Coturnix japonica: one gene and its partners. The protein of the gene in region 3 interacts with the protein of the main gene of each other region in a pairwise test. Links are inferred from orthologs where the notes say so. Each region holds a gene or a part of one and is shown on either strand. Other genes may lie near its edges.

Evidence for each region. The genes of interacting proteins can lie anywhere in the genome.
Region 1: the proteins of PACSIN1 (region 3) and ANKRD24 interact in a two-hybrid assay, tested with the Homo sapiens proteins (2 studies listed by BioGRID and IntAct). The link is inferred for Coturnix japonica from reciprocal best matches to the Homo sapiens genes PACSIN1 and ANKRD24.
Region 2: the proteins of PACSIN1 (region 3) and COBL interact in binary tests that used the Homo sapiens proteins (3 or more experiments, as listed by UniProt). The link is inferred for Coturnix japonica from reciprocal best matches to the Homo sapiens genes PACSIN1 and COBL.
Region 4: the proteins of PACSIN1 (region 3) and EHBP1 interact in a two-hybrid assay, tested with the Homo sapiens proteins (2 studies listed by BioGRID and IntAct). The link is inferred for Coturnix japonica from reciprocal best matches to the Homo sapiens genes PACSIN1 and EHBP1.

Annotation. Positions count from the first base shown.
Region 1 is NC_029543.1:1,706,614-1,711,335, forward strand, and holds the start of ANKRD24 (ankyrin repeat domain-containing protein 24), read right to left. Parts: upstream 3,102-4,722; 5' UTR 2,946-3,101; coding exon 2,877-2,945; exon of another isoform or gene 2,834-2,876; intron 1,878-2,833; coding exon 1,747-1,877; intron 1,657-1,746; coding exon 1,568-1,656; intron 1,426-1,567; coding exon 1,361-1,425; intron 1,103-1,360; coding exon 1,045-1,102; intron 970-1,044; coding exon 899-969; intron 675-898; coding exon 568-674; intron 488-567; coding exon 300-487; intron 204-299; coding exon 175-203; intron 21-174; coding exon 1-20. UniProt on the Homo sapiens protein: Component of the stereocilia rootlet in hair cells of inner ear.
Region 2 is NC_029517.1:49,563,159-49,567,858, reverse strand, and holds the start of COBL (protein cordon-bleu), read right to left. Parts: upstream 3,102-4,700; 5' UTR 3,087-3,101; coding exon 2,986-3,086; intron 2,689-2,985; coding exon 2,638-2,688; intron 1-2,637.
Region 3 is NC_029541.1:4,229,990-4,234,791, forward strand, and holds the start of PACSIN1 (protein kinase C and casein kinase substrate in neurons protein 1), read right to left. Parts: upstream 3,264-4,802; 5' UTR 3,125-3,263; intron 1-3,124. UniProt on the Homo sapiens protein: Plays a role in the reorganization of the microtubule cytoskeleton via its interaction with MAPT; this decreases microtubule stability and inhibits MAPT-induced microtubule polymerization.
Region 4 is NC_029518.1:2,281,466-2,286,392, forward strand, and holds the start of EHBP1 (EH domain-binding protein 1), read right to left. Parts: upstream 3,102-4,927; 5' UTR 2,957-3,101; intron 2,201-2,956; 5' UTR 1,888-2,200; coding exon 1,784-1,887; intron 1,725-1,783; exon of another isoform or gene 1,710-1,724; coding exon of another isoform or gene 1,645-1,709; intron 1-1,644. UniProt on the Homo sapiens protein: May play a role in actin reorganization. Links clathrin-mediated endocytosis to the actin cytoskeleton. May act as Rab effector protein and play a role in vesicle trafficking.

The sequences.
Region 1 (4,722 bases), on a different chromosome or scaffold from region 3:
GACTGGCTGGGTGAAGATGTCTGCAGAGGGACATTACATAGCAAATGGCCTCCCCCCTTCCTGCACCATCACCACCATGGAGAGCATGAGGACTCCCAATGCCCCCCCAATGCCCCCCACCCAGAGGTTGAGGTGCCTCCAATCCTGGTAAGAGTCAGGCTTGGCAACCCTCACCTGGGACATCTGCTCAGATGATTCCTCTTCTGTGGGGCAAAGTGGGAGGAAAGAGAAATCAAGGAGGTTTTGGGGATCATGGAGGTGGGCATGGGATGTAGAGCCAGACTGGGGTGCTCACTTACCACTGGCCCAGGACTGGCGCTGAGCAGCCTCTTGCAAGAAGTGCTGGATGAGAGCATTGCCCGTGGACAGGCCGTAGTGTGCAGCATCGTGACCCATCGAGTCCACCAAGGCCACCCGTGCACCAGCATTGATGAGCACCTCCACTGTCTCCACGCTGCCATTCTCACAGGCCAACATCAGGGCTGTCCTGAGCAGAGGGGTGGGAGCAGAAGTGAGAGGACCATCCATCTCCCCATATGCCCCCAATTCCCACCAGCAAAGACTCACTTCCCCTGCAGGTCCCGGCTGTTGATGGCTGCTCCGTGGTGCAGCAGGTACTGACAGAGCTCTGAGTGGCTCATCTTTGCAGCAAGGATCAATGGTGTGCAGCCATTCTAAGCAGAGAGAAATTGGGTGAGCTGGGGATGCTGCTTAGATCCCCCATCTCAGGGCACCCTGCTGCTTGATTTCCACATCCTGCTTTTGGGGTGTTCTCATAGCAGTGCTTTGGAGACCCCAAGTGCTGCCAGCTGCTCCATTACACCCCAAGAAGCAGCTGCATTTCAAAGCCAGCATGGATCTTTGCTGCTCTGTAGGGTGAGAAGCAGAAGGATCTCACCTTGTCCTTAATGTTCAGGGGAGCTTTGTAATCGCAGAGGATCTCTGAGCACGATATGCAGCCACTGATTGCTGTGGAGGACAGAAGGTGAGCATTGCCTGATGTGGGGATGTGGGCAGGATGGGTTTAGCACTGTCCTCACTCACCTGCGTGGTGAAGTGCTGTCTGTCCATTGCTGTCAGCTACATCCACAGGGCAGGAAGCCTGAAAGGGAGGGAGCCTGGGTTACAGCAGGGTGGGGAACAGATAGACTCTGCAAGCTACATGTGGCTACTATAGGGCTATAAGGCTGCCCCAAATCAAACAGTGCCAGATAGAGCCAGGAACCATCATGCCAACCAGCACCAGCACTGAGGGAAGGGAGAACAGGGATAGAGGGCACCTTGCTGGGGCTGCCCTTAAGGTGCTGGGCTTAGTGTGGTGTGACACCAGGTACAACACCCTCCCTCCCAACCCCAGTACCTGCAGCAGCTTGCTCACACACTGTGGGTGTCCGTGCTTGGATGCCAGGTGCAAGGCAGTGTAACCTGCAGAGAGGGACAGACAGACAGGTCAGAGGACAGACAGTGGGTTGATAGCACAAGGGGGACAGATGGGACAGCAGGACCCGCTGGGCTGAGCAGGGCTACCACAGCATTAGAAAGGGGTATATGGTTGCCATGCCCTCACCTGAGCTGTCTTTGGTCATGGCATCCACACCGTGAGCCAGCATGGCTTCAAGGCAATCCACATTCCCCCGGGTGGCAGCCAGATGAAACCTGCAGCAAGACCCAGAGCTGTCAGACCCATCTCTCTCACCTGAGCCCCATCACAGCCCTGTATCCCTGGTGACACAGGCCAGCACTTACGCAGATTTGCCCTCTGAATCCAGCTTGGTGGGGACCAGACCCTTGCGGACGAGGAGGGATGCCACCTTTCCAGCATCATTGTAGTCCACAGCTTGCAAGAGCTTCTCATCGTTCTTGGTCCAGTCCTGACTCTGCAATGAAGCCAACGTGAGGCTGTGATCCTTGTGCTATCATCAGGGGCAAGTAGGATGTTGGACTAGACACAGTTACTAATCCTCATCCCCTCCCCTTCTATCCCACCCAACTCTATCCCTTAGGTGCACTTTCCCAGCTGCTGCTGTGTCTGCTGTGCTGCATGAAGGGTTTATCTAGGAGATCTGATTTGAATGAGGTTCCCCTTCATCCCCCAACCTGTTTGCAGTTCACAGATGGGGGAAGTAGCAGAGCTGCCCCAGTTTAGCTCTGAATGTTCCAAGGTCTTGGATGCTCCCTGATTGCCCCCCACCCAGGGTTTGTTCCTGCCACCCAAGTGACCCTGATGCTATCCATAGGCAGCACACAGGGGTTCCTGAGCCCTATCCCTGCTTGGGTCTCTCCATTTTCAGCCTTGTTTTTCTCCTTTCCAAGGAAGGGGTGAAGTCAGGGCAAGCAGAGCTGACAGTGAGCTCAGGTCCCTGGGGATGACTGCAGCCCAGTGTTGGGTACGATGCTCCTGAGCAGAACTGGGGCTAGGTGAGGGTTTGCTGGCCCATTGGCCCCACACATCCCTTCCTCAGGGAATGACCCACAGCAGAGCAGGAGCTGGGGCTCACCCCACAGCCTGGGACAACAAACCAGAGCTTGGCTGCGGCTGGGAAATGGATGTGACCTCTGGGAACAGCTCACATCCTGCCCCTCACCAGCTGATGCCCAGCGCTAGACAGAATCCCTGTGCCACAGCACCTGTCCTATATAGGGCCAGGGGACCCTGATGTGGGGTGTGGAATAAAACAGACTCCCAGGGTTACTGGGCAAACTGGGAGCGTGATGCTCACCCCCACCCCTTTGTCTTGCAAGGACAAAGCAACTCGGGGAGGATACAGCAGAGCCCAGGGGACAGGGTTGGGAATAGAGGGGGTCCGGACGGGGGTTGGGGGTGACAGCTTACCCCATGTGCAGGACTGAAGGGGAGCGGGGATGGAGGGACGTACCGCAAAGGATGCAGCGGCACAGAGGCAGATCTGCTTCATGGTGTTGAGGAGGAGGCGGCGGGCAGCCATGCATCCCTTGCCTCTCTGCCTGAGCTTGGGCTGGTCGGGGCTCCAGGTTAAGGACCCCAGACCACGGGTCGGTCCGGTACCGCCACCGGGGCGGGGGCCGAGTCCTGCCGCAGTGACAACCGGGATCCGCCTCCTGCCGTCCCTTCGTCCCTCCTTCCTTCCCTCCCTCCTCGGAGCCCAGAGCTTCAGCATCCCTACATCCCTGCATCCCTACATCCCTACATCCCTACATTCCCTATCATCGGCCTTACATCCCTACATCCCTGCATCCCTACATCCCTGCATCCCTACATCCCTGCATCCCTACATCCCTACATCCCTACATCCCTGCATCCCTGCATCCCTGCATCCCTGACTCGGAGCGGGTGCTGAGGTCCCACCAAGCACCAAGTCTGGTCCCAATTAGAGTGGGAGGGTGTGTGTGTGGAGGGGGGAGGAGTAGCTCTCTCACCCCTGTGCCCGAGAAGAGGAAAGGATGCATCCCCAAACTATAGGGACAAACATCCTCCTACTGCCTGCAAGCAGCTCCCCAAGGAGGAGGAAGGATGTAGGACCTCAACCCTGCCCTGAGGGACAGAAACTGATCTCCCATCGCTCTGGGGCTAAGAGGGACACAGGATCCCCCCACCTGAATCTTAGGGGACCAGTGACCCCCTGCAAGGAGGGAACCCCAAAATGCACAGGCTCCTCCACCTACACATCCCCCTGGTGCTGCCATAGGCAGTGGGGACGGCACTGTCACCTTCTTCCCAGCCTGGAGAACAGCAGGAATATGCAGCATTGTGCCAGTCTGGTGCTGAATAATTAAGGAGCATTGACTTGCTGGCTTCAAAGTGGGAACCCAATCTGGTTGCTGTGGCTGGAAAGCTGGCAGCCATCCCTGCATCCCATAGGACAGAAATGGGTACAGGATCTGGGACACATTCACCTCTCCTCGGTGCTGCTTTCCCTTCCTTTATTCTGCCCTGCTCACAACTATGATCCCAGTGGAAGCTGGGTCACTGGGCAGGTGCCCATGTCCCCATGGGACATCCCAGGGCAGATCTCTGTGTCCCCATACCCCCACGAAACCCACTGACACCCCAGGGCAGATCCCCACATCCCTGTGGACAACCCAGGACACATCCCTATGTCCTTGGGGACAGCACTTACATCTGCCTTCCTGAACTTGGCCTTCAGGCTCTTCATAGCAGTCCCGTGGTACCTGGGTTGAGCCTTAAAGCCTCATCTGCCCGCTGGGGTCAGGCTGTAGGGATGTGGCTGTTGCAGAGGGCAGCTTTGAAGGCTTTTCTGCTGCTGCTACGGGTCCAGCTCAACACCAGCCCTGTCTGTACCTTGTCTCACTGCTGCTGGCCCACAGCACGACACGGGGGGGGGGACACACACACTGGCATTGGGTTACCTCTGCAGTTACAGCCCGGGGGGGGGGAACATGGGAGGGCCCAGCACCAGGCAGGGCAAGGAGCACTGACATCCTTGAAACCCCTGCACCCAGACACAGGGCAGCTGCAAGGGAGGGGGTACTATAGCAAGGCTGGGGAAGCCTCAGATGAGGGAGAGAAGGGTTTGAAACCATCACGATGCTTCAGGTTATGTGTTAAGGAGAAATATTTCATTCATAAGGCAGGGAGATGCTGGAACAGGTTGGTTAGAAGTTGGGGATGCCAATTGAAGGCACTCAGGGCTGGGTGGGATCCTGGGGATCATAACCCAGCAGCTGGTAACCCTGACCAGTGTATGGGAGTAGAACTAGATTATCTTTAAGGTCCTGTCCAAC
Region 2 (4,700 bases), on a different chromosome or scaffold from region 3:
ACATGGTCACATCAGTCCAGCAGATAAATCACTCCAAAGCAGGTGTGTTAGCATGTGCCTCTGTTTGTGATAAGATCCTGTGAGACGGGGAAGGAGTTTGCAGTACAAGTAGTAAAGGTCCTACACTAAAAAAGTTGTATGGGCACCTTTTTATGTAGGCATTTCACCCACCTATGCTGAAGGTTTCAGGGGAAGCCCCTGTGCTCAGCATCGCAGCACAAAGAAGCACCCATATGCCGTGGGCTCAAGTGGGAGACAACAATGCTTGCACTCACAGAGGATAAAGCTCTGTCCTATGCAAGAGCTGATCCTGCATGTCCCTATTTTAGGGTTGAGTTCTCTAAGTCACTTACGATCAATGGATGCCATTTTTTTCTTGCTACAGTCAATAAAGTCACCAGTTGGACATTCAGGAGATTCAGGGGCCTCTTCTCTGTTCTCCCCACCAAAATAAATGCAGCTGCACACACCAAAGCAGTAGGTTTTCAACAACTGTTTTTTCCCTCTTCCAGTCATGCTCCCATTGCAACACTACAGAGCAAATCCCATGTACTGGTATTTGTAGAATCATAAATTCATAGAATGGCCTGCGTTGAAAAGGACCTCAAAGATCATCTAGTTCCAACTCCCCTGCTATGTGCAGGGTTGCCAACCACCAGATCAGGCTGCCCAGAGCCACATCCAGCCTGGCCTTGAATGCCTCCAGGGATGGGGCATCACAACCACCTCGGGCAACCTGTTCCAGTGCGTCACCACCCTCTGAGTGAAAAACTTCCTCCTAATATCTAACCTAAACATATTCAGTGTCTTAAATTCACATTCATAACCTAAAATAAATGTTAATTAAGCATGGCATTATGGACTTAATAAAGCTTCTAGCCATTAGCGTTAGTAAGATTCTTCGGACTGATGTCCACAGTTATTCTTGAAACAGAGCAACAGGAAAAACCCTGCAGCAACAACACAAACAGCATCTTTTCCTTCGCCATTTAAGACAAAAGCAAACAAACAAAAACCCATCAGCATCCTACTTTTAAATGTGCAATTCCCAGCAGCTGCGCCATGAACACATGCAGCCAGTTTATCCGTGCAGAGCACACAGCGGAGCTGCTGGACTCTACTGCACGATACATTAAATCAGCACACTGTTTAACAAGGAAAACCCTCAACATTACTGTTAATGATTTACATAGAGACAAAACAGCTCTGCCTAAATTTTGTTAAAAATTATAAAGCTGGGATCATTTTAACCCCTTACTTTCAGAACTGCCTGCTAACTCAATCAACAAGCTGGGAACGTGTAGCACAGATCTTCCGCTGCAAAAGGAACACAGTTCTGCCACAGTCATCTAAAAATCCATGTTCCCAGACAAGTTCCACAGATGCTGCTGACATCTGGATCCCTGCGGGAAGTGACAAGGACAGAAGAAGCTATCCTCTTGCAATGCTTTCCTGGCCAATTTCCTCACGGAACAAATAAAACCTAATTAGGGAGCAAACATCCATTGATTTCCAGTACTGATGCTGGAAATTCAGAGAATTACGTATTGCTCAGTGAAATCCGCAGCCGACAGCATGGGCACATCCAGGCTGAGATTCTACAGCTTCCAAGGAAAGCAGGAGCACTTCAGCACTTAAAAAAGACTCAGTTAGGGCAGACTACCGCTGAGTACACAACAGCTTTGCCACCAGCATATCGTTGCGCAATATCCCAAGTGTAGTGTAACCTTAGGACAGGCTCTGCTCCTTGGGCTACGCTGGGAGTTCTTCAACCGAAGTTAATGCACTTACAGCAACTTCTGGCCATCCACGTAGTAACCATCTGCTCATGGAACCAGCTCCACACTCACAGAGACAAAACTAGCTGTCTGTGAGTTCTATTCAGTATATTGCTGAGCTCCGAGACGCAGAAACAAGCAGTTTTTTTTCATTCCAGACTCTAACAAAACTCTGGATACCCAGCAAACAGGACAAGATTTTAATGAGCATTACAGAGAGAGGAGTGCTTCTTATTCTTCAAAGTGCTCACAGAGGAAGCCAGCAGCCTTACTTCCCAAGTCCAAGAAACATTACACACAGTTCTATTACTGCAGCATCTTGGCATCTTCTCTTCACCCACTGCCCCCTGTTCTAATTTTGAGTCACTCACTACAAGACTTCCCATCAAATAAAGAAACGATGGAAACCAAAGATTAAAAAACGAAAAGCCCTCAAGCACGTACTTTAACGCTGCTTTTTATTTAACTGAATTTATGACACGAATAATGGAACTTCAAATAAATAAAAAACTTCAGAACCAACCACAGTCCTCCTCAATGCGAGCGGGCAGCATGAAGCAGAGCAGTAAACTGCACCGAGCGTTCAGCACAGCCTCAAACCCGCCTTGCTCCCACTCCGATCAAAGCGATCTCACCACCGGTCGACCCCCCGACCCGCCCCGCTGCAAACCCTCTCCCACTCCCTCCAGCCATTCGGGCCGCCCGCTCGGCCCAGCGGCCCTAAGCCCGCACCCCGGCCCCAGCGCCGCCCCACTCCCTCGCCCCGTGCCCGGGCCGGGCTGCACGGCGGGGCCCCGGCACCTGCCGGCAGTGAAGACGGCCGCTCGGAGACCGAAGCCGGGGCTCGGGGGTGACTTACCCGGTGGGCGGCTTGCCGGCCGTGGGGCGGACGAGGGTCTCCATGGGCGTTCTGAAGGGTCCCGGCGCCAGGAGAAGCGAAGGTCGAAGAGGAGAAGGAAGCAGAGGGCAGCTATGAGCACTGTCTCCCCACACCCGAAAGCTTTTCCCCCGGCCCGGCCGCGCTCCCGCAGCCGCTGGCGGGGCGGGGAAAGGGCAAAGTTACCGCTCCCCGCTCCGCGGCGGGCGGCACTCCCGGCTTGGGGCGGGAGCCCGTTGAGAAGGAGGGAGGGAAGGAGAACGACGGCCGCCTGCAGGGCCGGCACGGACGCGCCGCCCGAGCCGTGACTGGTCGGCCAGGCCCTCCTACCTGCGGGCACTCGGGGAGGGAGCGGCGGGTGGCTCCGCAGCTGCCCGCTCTCCTCTCACCGGCCCGTGCGGGGGCGAGGGCGCACGCGGAGCCGTTTCCATGTGAGCGCTCGGGACAAACACAAACACGGCCGCCCCCGCCGCCCACGCACCGTGCGGGCACCAGCGGGAGATGGAGGCTTCGGCGGGGTGTCCCGGCGGACCCTCGCCGTCTCCTCAACCCGCGTGGTCGGCGGTGCCTTAAAGTCTCAACGGTGTCAGAAGCGCTGCACGTCCCCCGGCACAGCAACTGTTACACTGTGCGTGTAAGGAAAGCTAGCTTGGGCTTATATTACTGGAGGATGTGCTCATTCTCCGACGTGCCTCGCTTTGGGCACCCTGGCCCCTCGCAGGCATTTCAGGAGTTCCTCTGCTTCTCTTCCAAGCCTCTCTGTTCGCTTCACCTTGTGTTCCGGGTTGTGGTGGCAGAAGGGCCAGGCCACCGCCAAAGCACAGAATGGGAAGGCTAAGTGGGGTGAAACCCCATCACAGAGCTGAGGGTAGGGGAGCTGCCTTGGCCATCTCCCTTTGACAGTGTGAGGATTCTCCTCAGGTCCTGGCAGATCAGCAGAAGTTGAGAGCACTGCTTTCTATTTCTTCCTTCCCATCCCTGTCATACAGAGAGGGCTTGATGCTGAGGGAGGCAGCTGGCCATGAAAACAATATTCTGCAGAAGCAAAGCATTACGGATCCCTGTTAACATGGGTAAAAGTTCACTGAGTCACCACAGCTCAGTAATTGTCTCTGGTCATTTGAAACACGTGTCATGGTAATGAGCCACTTGTACCCCTATGAGAATAAACAGGCTGGCTTGCATACATTATTTTGCAAGGGAACTGGTCTCTCAGATTCAGTCTCACTTACCAGAACTACCAGAAATGAATGGTGATCGCAGAGAAGCTGTGCATGTCCCATCCTTGGTTGGATGGAGCCCTGAGCAGCCTGATGTAGTAGGTGGCAGCCCTACCTATGGCAGTGGGTTGGGGCTGGGAGGATCTGAGATCCTTTCCAACTCAAACCATTCAGTGATTCTATGATTCTATTTAACCACAGGGTCTCAATTTCATAGCACTGTATGTCATGCGTTTGGTACATTTTTAATCCCCCCCTTTTTAATCCTAAATCTAAATTTTTACCCTAGAACACATGCTAAAGCTGCACAAACACAAAACCTCTACCAAACCCCAAAGATGTTCCCACCTCAAGAGCAAACTTTGCTGTTCTGCTCCAGGAACCTGCAAGAACTTCCTGCATCTCACTGTGTTGTGCTACACCTGAAGGAAGGTGTGACGTCCTTGTGGCTGTCCTGCAGAGCAGGGCTCTGACCATCTTCTTCACCGCCTGCAGTCCTGTTCCAGTTTCTCTCACCCTTTCCCAATAGCTTCACTGTTTCACATTAGTTTATTCCCTAGCAGCAATGCCTAAATGTTTTCTGTTTGATAGTATTTTCTCTTCAATTCCTATAATACAACATTCTTAGAGTATATAAAGGCTGCCACAACCCAGCAGTGAACAACAAAATAGTATCTGCTTATTACATTTGCTTTATTTTATACAGCACAGTGAATGACTGTCATCAATCCCTGAAATCACCATCTCAACACTGCTCCAGAGTTCCAGGAGCAGTAACACAGATTGCCCATGTCCAAAACCGTTCACTCCTATGATGGAAGAGCC
Region 3 (4,802 bases):
TCCTCCCCCTGGTGCAGTGGGGAGGGTTTCATGGCTGAGCTCTTATAGAAACAAACACCCCAGAACACCTTTGGAGATGCAGCTGGTGCCGCCTCGCTGCCAAATGTGCCAGCAGGGAAGGAGCTGGTGCAAGAGCTACATAGAAACATGGGATGGGGAAGGGGCAGAGTAGCTGCACCCCATGAGCTGCTGCACCCCATGAGCTGCTGCTCCAAGGCCATGGAGCCAGGCAGTGCCTCCTCCCAAACCCCAGGGTTGTGTCTGGGCATTCATCCCATTGTGCCACATCCGTGAGCCCTATGGGCAGCAGCAGCTGGAGCCATGGTGCGGGTGGGCTCTCCCACTCCCCATTGCCTGCGTTTTCCCCCAGCTCGGGGTGATGTCAGGGAAATTCAAAGCTGGCAGGAGACGAACGGCTCGGGCTGAGTAACCGAAGCCGCCCACAGGAGCTGCAGTAATGAGGCTGGCTGCTTGTCGGGCTGCAGCTGCCCAGATCGGGTTGCCCACAGAATGCAACCCGCTCCCATGAGGCTCAGCCTGGATCAGCTTTCCCCTAATGAGCGCCTTCCATTCCTTAATGAAGCTTGGTGGGTCTGTGTGCCATCTGAGCACGTCTTCCAACCTTTAGCAAGCCAGAAAGGTCCTGAAATATTTCAGGGCTCTGTGCTGGCTGCAGGGGAGGAGGCAGCGTGAGACCCAGGTGAAATAATGCTGCCCCAACACAGAGCGGGGGGGCTCAGGCTCCTGCAGCATCATTTGGTCTTTGCTTTTTGCCATTTCAGGGTCCTCAGCCCCGGCAGCATCTGGGCACAGGGGAGCAAATGCTCTTGGCATTAAACACTGGGGGGTGGTGGGGGATTCCAGTGACCCTGTGATACATGGAGCCCTGCAGTTCAGAGCCCTGCAGTGAGTGCCAGCTGGATGCTGTGGCACAAACAAGGCCATGACAAACCCTCCCCCATTGTGCACCATCCCAGCGGTCACTATTTCCTGCAATAACTCATTTCCCCCTTCAATAAAATGAGTTTCCCCATGGGAAGCAGCGGGCAGTATTGGCAGGAAATTAGCCTTGATTTATGTGGCTTCTTGGCACTCTGAAATTAAGATTCTTCGAGCACCACGGTGAACTGAGAAGCAAATCATCCTGACTGCACTGCTGGTGCAGCAGCCCCATGTTTGTGCCCTGCATCAGCTACAGATGTGCTGCAGGTCCCAGGAACACTCCGGCTTGCTGGGAGAATGCAAACACGAGGCTATTTTGCATCTCTAATTAGCATCGGAGGATAATTGGCCCCTCTGCAGCAGTTATGCAGAAAGCCGGTCATTGTGAAGGGCCCCCGACGTGGGGCAGGTGCTGCCAGCAGCCCAGCTCCCACCACAACAATCCCCTTTTTGTCTGCCCATACCCAGCCCCAAGGCGGCCTGTGAGCCCCTTCCGGGGCAGGGGCCGGGACATAAAGGCTCCTTTTTATTGGGAAAATGCCTGTGTGTGGGGTCTGCTGTGGGCAGCAGCTGGGAGCAGCGTGTCCCTATTGCTCACAGCCATGGCAATGTTGGGGTCGCTGCCTCCTTTCCCCCCTGCTGCTGTGCCCCATAGGGGAAGTGCCTTCTCCAAGGCTCCTCTATTTGCCTTCATGCCGTTGCACAAGCACTGCCCTGCTCGCTGCCCCACCGGGGACAAAGTCTGTCCATGGGGCAGAGCTGCACGTGAGGCTCCTGCAGCCACCCGGGCTGCCTTTCCTCAATCCCTTTAGTTAAATCCATCCCACACAGGAAGAGGCAGCGATGGCCAAGAGGGGCAGGAGGGGATGGGGACACGGCTGCGAGCACCCAGAACAGGCTCAGTGCTGTCAGCAGCAGCCCTGGCATTCAGCCACTGATAAATTCCCCTTTGCAGCGTTAATCTCCTTCCCAAGCCTCTCCTCTCCCTTTTCCAGCTCTCATCCCTGAGCTGAGGAGGAGTGGGGATACAACACATCCTCACCACCAGCAGTGCCACCATAGTCCTGCCTACCCAGAACTGCTGCATGGGGTTGTTTGTTGCCTTGTGAGCCCCCAGCTGCAGGAGCCACATCTCAGTGTAAGGTCACCGTGCCCCACAGCTCAGGGGCAGCCCATAGTGCAGGAACTGCTGTGTCCCATATCTGTGATCTGTGGCAATGCAGCACCCAGCGGGAGCAGCTCGGGGAGGCTGCAGGAGGAGCACAGCTCTAATCCGTTTAGCAAAGTGCTTGCTTGGCTGTTTGTGAGCAAGGAGCAAGAATGGCAGAGAGGAGATGTGTGCAGAGCAGCGGGATGGGAAGGACAAGGGCAGCAATCCTGGTCAGGGCGTGGGGCCAGGAGATGCGTTTCTCCCCTGCAGTCATTGCTGCATCCCTGGGTCTGCTTTTCCCCTCCTCGTCCTATCGGTGACCCATCCTGGTTCTTCTAAAGGAGCAATTCTTTGCACCCAGTGCTGAGGATCCTGAATTTCTCACCGGGCAAGTCAGAGGATGCCAAGCGCACAGCAAGGAGGCAGAGGGAAGATGAGCACAATCGTTCCGTTTGCTCAGCGCTGACAGCCCTGACAATTGCAGGCTGTTCAGGGCGGCTTTTTGGCTCCCAGCCCTCTTTTATCCATTGTGGGGAGCTGGAGGGACCCCGTTCCTGGTGCGGGATGCTCTGCGGGTTCTCCATGGAGCAGCACAATGGTGCCAGCCCCCAGCTGACAGAGTGAGCCTGGCCTTGGGGCACTCCTGGGGCTGTTATTGAGCTGATGCAGCTTTTGCATAACGTATAGAGCGGGGGCGAGCCACGAGATGCCACAGAACCTCAGATGAGACCCACCTGACAGCAGCCCCCCGAGCTCAGGCACAAGATAGTAAGCAATCCCCAGTCCTAGAGAAGTTTGGCAATGTCATAAACCAGGCAGCACTGAGCTGCTATGCCAGAATCTCACCTCCCAGGTCCAGGAGCATTACAGGGCTGACACCTCCACCAGGGTGCACAGCAACACGCCGATACCAAGCGTCCCATCCATACAGCAGGGCCACCACCATCCCCATCACCCACCGCCCACCGGGAGCCCCCCACTGCCAACATCTGGAGCCAGAACATGCCGGGAGCCCCGGGGACGCGTCGGTACCTTGGGCAAAAGGCTGCAGGGCCCATGGGAGGGCACGGGGAGGGCGCTGGGCTGCGGATGCTGGGCGGCACTGGGGGTGGCCGGGGTGATGGCTGGGAACCCAGAGGCTCCGTCTCACTCGGGCTGGTTCTGCACATTGGGAGGAAGGTCACGGCAGATGGGGAGGAGGGGGTAAAGATCAGCACGGAGATTACAGAGGCATTTTTAGCCAGCCAATCGCCACCCCGGCTCGGCATAATGACTCCTTCGCAGCACAAGGTGAAAACGTTACCGCAGGAGCAGCGAAGAATAAGCTCGGGTGGCTGCGGGGGGGTCCTCAGCCTCATTGCACACTGTGCTGTGAGCTGACACCTCCCCACGCTCTTTCCTTCTCCTCCATCCTATGGCTCACAGCCCCTGTTCCTTCCCTTCTCCCTGTGTGATGTGGGCAGACCTGAGGTTGCCCCCTGGTCTGATGGAGGGATGCACCTAATGGAGCCTCCACCCATCTCCCCTGGGGTGCTGAGACCTCCAAGCAGCCTTAAGTGCTGGGTGCTGTGTGGGGTATGGGACACAGCCTGCGTCCTGCCATCCTGCTCTGCCTCTGCCCTCAGCAAACCCCATCCAGGACCAAGGGAACACAGTGGGATCAGAGAGTGTTAGTGTTGTGCTGAGCAGCGTGGTGTGAGCGGAGCTGTGTGTGCTGGAGCCCCAGATCCCAGCACAAGGAGCTGCTGGGAGCTCGTTGTGCTGGAACCACGAGCCCTTTGCTCTGCAGGGAGCAGCGTGGGTGGAACTCACTTACACACTCATTTTGCTCCCTGGGATCCCAGCCAGAGCTTTACAGCCCGGCTCCAAAGGGCAGCACTGACTGACCAGCTCCTCACGGCTCTGCCTGCAGTAAGGGCTGATGGCAGCAGGGCTCAATGTGAGCACACAGAGCAGCAGGGAAAGCCCTGCTGGAACATCCCCTGTCCTCCATGTGTATGAATACAAAGGCTGCTCGTCCCCATTATGAGGCTGCATGGGGGCACCCAGGGAAGGCCATGGGCTGCTGTCAGGGTGAATGCACGGTGACTGCTGTACTCATAGCAATAGGAAGCCATGGCCAAGCCCTGCTCTGTGGCTCCTGGTCCCCCCTGTGCCACCAGCCCCATAGTATGGCCTGAGCCCTGTGCTAATCCACGGGGGATGATCCCAGCCATCAGCACTGTAAATCCCATTGCTGTGTGACACATGTGGGAGCTGCAGGGGATGGAGCTGAGCTCCATGGCTGCCCCAGCGCCCATTTAATGTCAGGGATGCTGAGGTTAAAGGGCTAATTCCTATCAGGCATCACTACGGACACCTTTCTCGGTGACCTGACTGGGGGCCTTGCGCACCTTGCTACAGGCAGCGCGGTGGACACCCTCAGCGCTTGGGGGGGCCTTCGGGAGGCCGGAAGTGAGAGCGCGGCGCATGCGTGTTCCTTTCCGCTCTCGGCCCCGCTGAGACTGTCACGGTGAGGCAGCGCTCCGGGCCTACATCGGGCTCGGATCGGGCTTGTATCGGCTCCATCCGCGGGCGGAGCCGTGAGGCAGCACCGGGACAGAACGGGGGAGATCAGGCCCGGCCCATCCGCGGCGATATTTCCGGGATCGGGGGGATCTGGGCCCGGGATGGCGAGGCGGAAGGCCTGGGGGGGCAGTAGGCCGCAGTA
Region 4 (4,927 bases), on a different chromosome or scaffold from region 3:
TCCAAACAAGAGGAAGCAGAACAGGAAGTCTACAACCAAACGGCTGTGTGAATGATATTTTTCCCCATTGTTTTTTTTCCTAGAATTCATCCGCATTTCAGCACCATTCCTCTCTTCCCTTACAACAAATGCGAGCACCAACCCAGCACGTTACATCAAAGGATGTAAAGCAAAAAAAAAAAAAAAAAAGCTTATATATATATATATATTTATGCACAGCTGAGGCTTTGAAGGCAGCATGACCACTCACCATGCTGGCATATTGCTAGGTGGTCACACTGTGATGGAACAAGAAGTTAATTGTTTCTAAAATAACACGATTGCTGACAAGAGAACTTTTGTGTGTGACTTTCTTAAGTGAGAAGAGGCTGCAGATCCAATCTGAACGTTCGTACTTCAGTACTGAAGAGTTCTGCATGTTCACGTGGAAGGAGTGAAAGTGAAAATGAGAGCCAAAAGAGATGAGTTGGTGTGAAGGAGAAATGAAAGATGACAAGGCATAAGACATTACTCACACAATGCTGAAATAAACCTGATTACAATGGAGAACTCCTGGGCCTGAGCTGGATGGTTGGTCACCTGAGGTGACCGTGACAGTCTCTTTCAACCTTTAAGCTATTTTTATTCATAAGTTTGTTCAGCGAAAGAATGTTCCAATTCCAAAATAATTCTGTTTCTTCACCATCTTTGGAGACACCTGAGGCCAGCAGGTAGCTTGGTAGAAATAAGCACACAACTAAGCCAGCGGTGTTCCTTTACAGCAGAGCAGCAAGCAGCCTTCCAGCACATCTGACTGACATTTCCAACTCCATAAGATACCATTTGAATTTACAGAGGCAATTACTCATAACCAGCAAAGTCAGCCAATGCAAGGACAATAGGACAAAGCCAGTATTAGAAGGAGGCTGCAGATTGTTTCAGGGCGGTTTGAACGTCTCCATCCACAAGGACTGCAAAGTACTTCCTCCATGCCCTGGTACTACAGGCTCATGCTAATGTGAGGAATTACAACATCAATATTCCTCAGGTATAAAAGCATTCCGGTATTTGTATAACGGAGATGTTTGCTAGCAGACTATAAAAACTGTTTCCAGTCTTGCCCCCATCAGATGCACTTAAGTTCATTTAGCACAGGAAGCAAGACGTGCCTGTGCCAGAGCCACTCAATTACCATAACTGCTGTCTAGTCAGCTCCAAAGCCATCCGACTGGACCGCTGCTGCACGAAATTCCTGCCCAACTAAACAAGTGCCTTCAGACAATTCCCAAGGACCCACCTCTCATCTCTTTCCTTTAGAATCTGGAAAGGAAAGAGGAGAGACGAGACATCCTTCAGGTAAAGGAGTCAAAATCAAAACCAGATGACAGCAACACCGTGCTCAGAGCTGAGCCCAAATGGCTCAGCCAGCTAAAGTCAGCATCGGAAGGGGACAGCCAGCCCCAAGAGCAAGCTGCAGGCCACAAAAGGACTCTTGGAAAATACATATAGTATAGGTAAATGAACAGCAAAAAAAAAAGCCACTAAGCTACAGGTGTCAAGCTCATAAAAGCACTGTCCCATGTAATAACATCAGCAAAGAGAATCTCAACGCAGAGCAAAACCAACAGGCCCAAGCTGCAGCACCATGCTCCAGACACCACACACCTTACACAGCCGCTTCTGCGATGGGCAGGTGAGGGAAGTGAGGCCACGCACACCCCGAACAACATGCAACGAGCAAGAGCCTTCAGTTTCAGCATCAAGAACTCACTCCGTGTTTGGGCAGCAGCGAGTCACTCCTTACCATTTTTTGGTGCACTCCACCATCAGCTCCTGGTAGGAGGCCACAAACTGGAACTTGGACGCATGTTTCCCAACACGCTGCAGTCTTTTCCAAACTGAAGCCATGACTGCGAGGAACACCACTGGTCCTGTGGCACAGTCGCAAGAACACCCACGTATGCGTAAGAGCGCGTGCTCAGTACTAGCAGGTTTATATACAGATGCAGGAAAAACAATGAACAAGAAGCTCGAGAGGATGTCTACAACTCATATTTCGCCCCTCTTTTCTTCACAGTAGAGATCCCAGTGCGGCTGAATGGCTCATCACCGTCCAGGAGCAGCAGGCAATAGGGGCTGCAAGTGAGCAAAAGAGGCGAGGAAGTTCTCTCACGGAACCATGAGCATCCCTCACACGGCGGACGGCGTGGAGACTGCAGGACTGGGAGACAAAAAGGCCGTGGAAGATGCAGGTTAGTGGGCGGCACGCTGCCATCGCTCCCAGCCCGGAACCCTCCGCACAAGGACCGCGAGCCGCACCGCCAGAGCCCGTCCCGTCACCCCGAACGAATACACGGATTTATACGGCTGCAGCAATTCTAGAAATGCGAACCGCGAGCCCGTTTGGAGGCGTATCGACGCGTCCTTTTAGCGGCACCGGCACCGCCGGCAGCAGCGACCGGCGGGGCAGCGGGGTCCGGCGGCACCCCTGGAAGCGGGGCGGGATGCGGGGAGCCGCTTTTCTTTGTCTCCGCGGCGCTGACAAAAGCCGTGCCGGCTGCCCCCCATCACACACGCACCCCACGCCTCGTGCCGGGCAGAAGGAGCGGGACAGAGGGGAGCGCTACCGCGGGACCGCCGGCTCGGGGCACGATGAGGGACGGCAGGGCATGGCATGGCAGGGCATGGCATGGCAGGGCAGGGCAGGGCGGCCCCGGCTGCCCCGCAGGCCGCCGTCCGACCCGGGCCGGAGGAGGCGGCGGCGGGCTCCGGAGCCCGGCGGGAGGGCGGCGCGGGGCGCTGAGCTGCAGCCCAACGGGGCTTCCCCGCCACCCCGCGCCCGGCCGCCGTCAGCCCCGCGTCCCCCGCAGCCCCGGGCGTTAAGGACGAACACGCCGCCGGGGAGGAGGGAGCGAGGGGCGGCGGGGCTGGGGCGGCAGGGAAGGCCCGGGGCGGCTCCCGCGGGCGCGGCGCTCACCTGCAGCCGCTCTCACGGCGTTCCCCGGGGCGGGCGCTGGCACTGCGCGGCGAGCCGAGAGGCGGCCCCGACACCGACACCGCCCATCGCCTTGGCGGCGCCCCGCGGCCGTTCCCCCGCGTTCCCGTGGCCGCACAGCCCCGCCGGCCGGGCAGCCCGCGCGGGTCCCGCCGCGCCTCACGCCGCCACCATCGCCCTCCTGCCGGCAACGCGCAGCGTCTCGCCCCGGCCCGGCCCGACCCACCGCCCCCCGGCCGGGCGCGGCCCGCCCCCCGCCGTCCCATTGGCTGAGCCGCGCGCCCCGCACCTCCCATTGGCCGCCGCTCCGCGTCAATCACCCGCGGCCGGAGGGGCGATCCTGCAGCGGGCAGAGCCGAGCGCTGAGGGAAGGCGGCGCTCGCGAGCCCTCCGCTCCTCAGCTCCCACTACGGCCCATCTCCGTCCCGATTGGCCGCGGTACCCGAGGAGGCGGGGTCGCGCGTTAGGAAAAGCCTCGCGATAGGCGAGCTCGGTCGCCCGTCAGCGCGACAACGTGCGGCGATTGGCTGTAGAGCTTCCTACAGCGGCAAGGTGGGCGCGGCGGGAGGAGCGGGCTGTCAGGGAGGGGCGGGGCCGCGTGGCGGCGGGACGCGGTGCGGGCGGGGCTGCGCTCATGGCCGGTCGGGGATCCGGCCTCGTCGGCTTGGCACGTGTGTGGGGGATTTGCTGCCCAGCTCCGCACGCGGAGCTTGACGTGAGCCCCGTTTTTCTTTGAAGCGCCGATCTGCTGCCCGGCATTGGGGAAACGAGGCCGGCCGTGCAGCATCGACATCATGTGCCTCCATCCGAGCGGGCGGCTCGCGTGCTGTGTGAGGCGGGAGTCGGGTTCCAGCCGTTATCGGGATCCGGTTCCTCAGCGCTCCACTTCGAGTTACCGCTGTCAGTCCCAGGTCCACGATGTGCTCAGGGCGGCTCTGACAGCGATATTCCTGCCGAGCCCGCTGTGTTCCTCGCCTCAATGAAGCCGTGGGGGTGTATCTATGCATGTCCTCACCCTCCACACCTGGGCACGGCGCGGGATGCTGAGAGCTGCATCACACCTCGCCATCAGAGTGACTGAGGGCGGGTTGTTCACCAGGACATAAATGGCCTTTGCTAGAAATAGCCATCCTTATAAATCTGCTTCCCCGGTACACGAGCCTGCGGAAATGTCACCGAGGTAATTGACTAATTGGATTATGTCACATTTACAAGAGCACTCAGCTTTGTGAGGCAGTGGGCTGTGCCTTCACCTGCTACATCTGAAACGCCCTCATCTCTCTGGATCCCTTCAGAAGTTTGATCCCACCTTTACATAGTGGAGAATTCACACGGGCTTCCTCAAATCTGAGCAAAGCGCCATCCTCCAGTCCTGAACATGGTGCCCTGCTGTGCTCTGCCCAGAAGGGGTGCCCCAAAAGCCCATTTCCTGATGGCAGCTTCACGTCTCAGCCTTTGCAAACGGCTTCACTGCACCATCCCGGAAGTGCTGGGCGCTCCTGCCCAGACCAAAGTCCTGTAGGTAAAGACAAGAGCCTGGTTCCAAAAGGGAGGATGAAAAACATCCTCACCTGTAATTCCTTTATCCCACCTCTACCTGGCTGAAATTCTTCCTGAGCCACTCAGCAGTAAAAGAGACGTCATATTTATCTACAGACGAGGTCAAGGACTGGAGTCACATTCCTGAAATGCAGAAGCCACGTTGCAGCAGTTCAGCCCTTGGAGCCGAGATGAAAGATGGGGTGTTGGTGGTGGAGACCTGCACACTGCAGACAGCATTGCCTTATTGTGCCTCACAAAACACTGGGTTAGAACTAATTTCTTCAAGGAACGTTTTCCAGAGTTATTTCCAGTCAGTCTGATGTTGGTTAGCTTGCAAGTGGGCTGAGCAAGTTAACGAGTTTTATCATCCAGCTTTTGGTATCCTTTAGAATTGTACCCTCATTGGGCCAT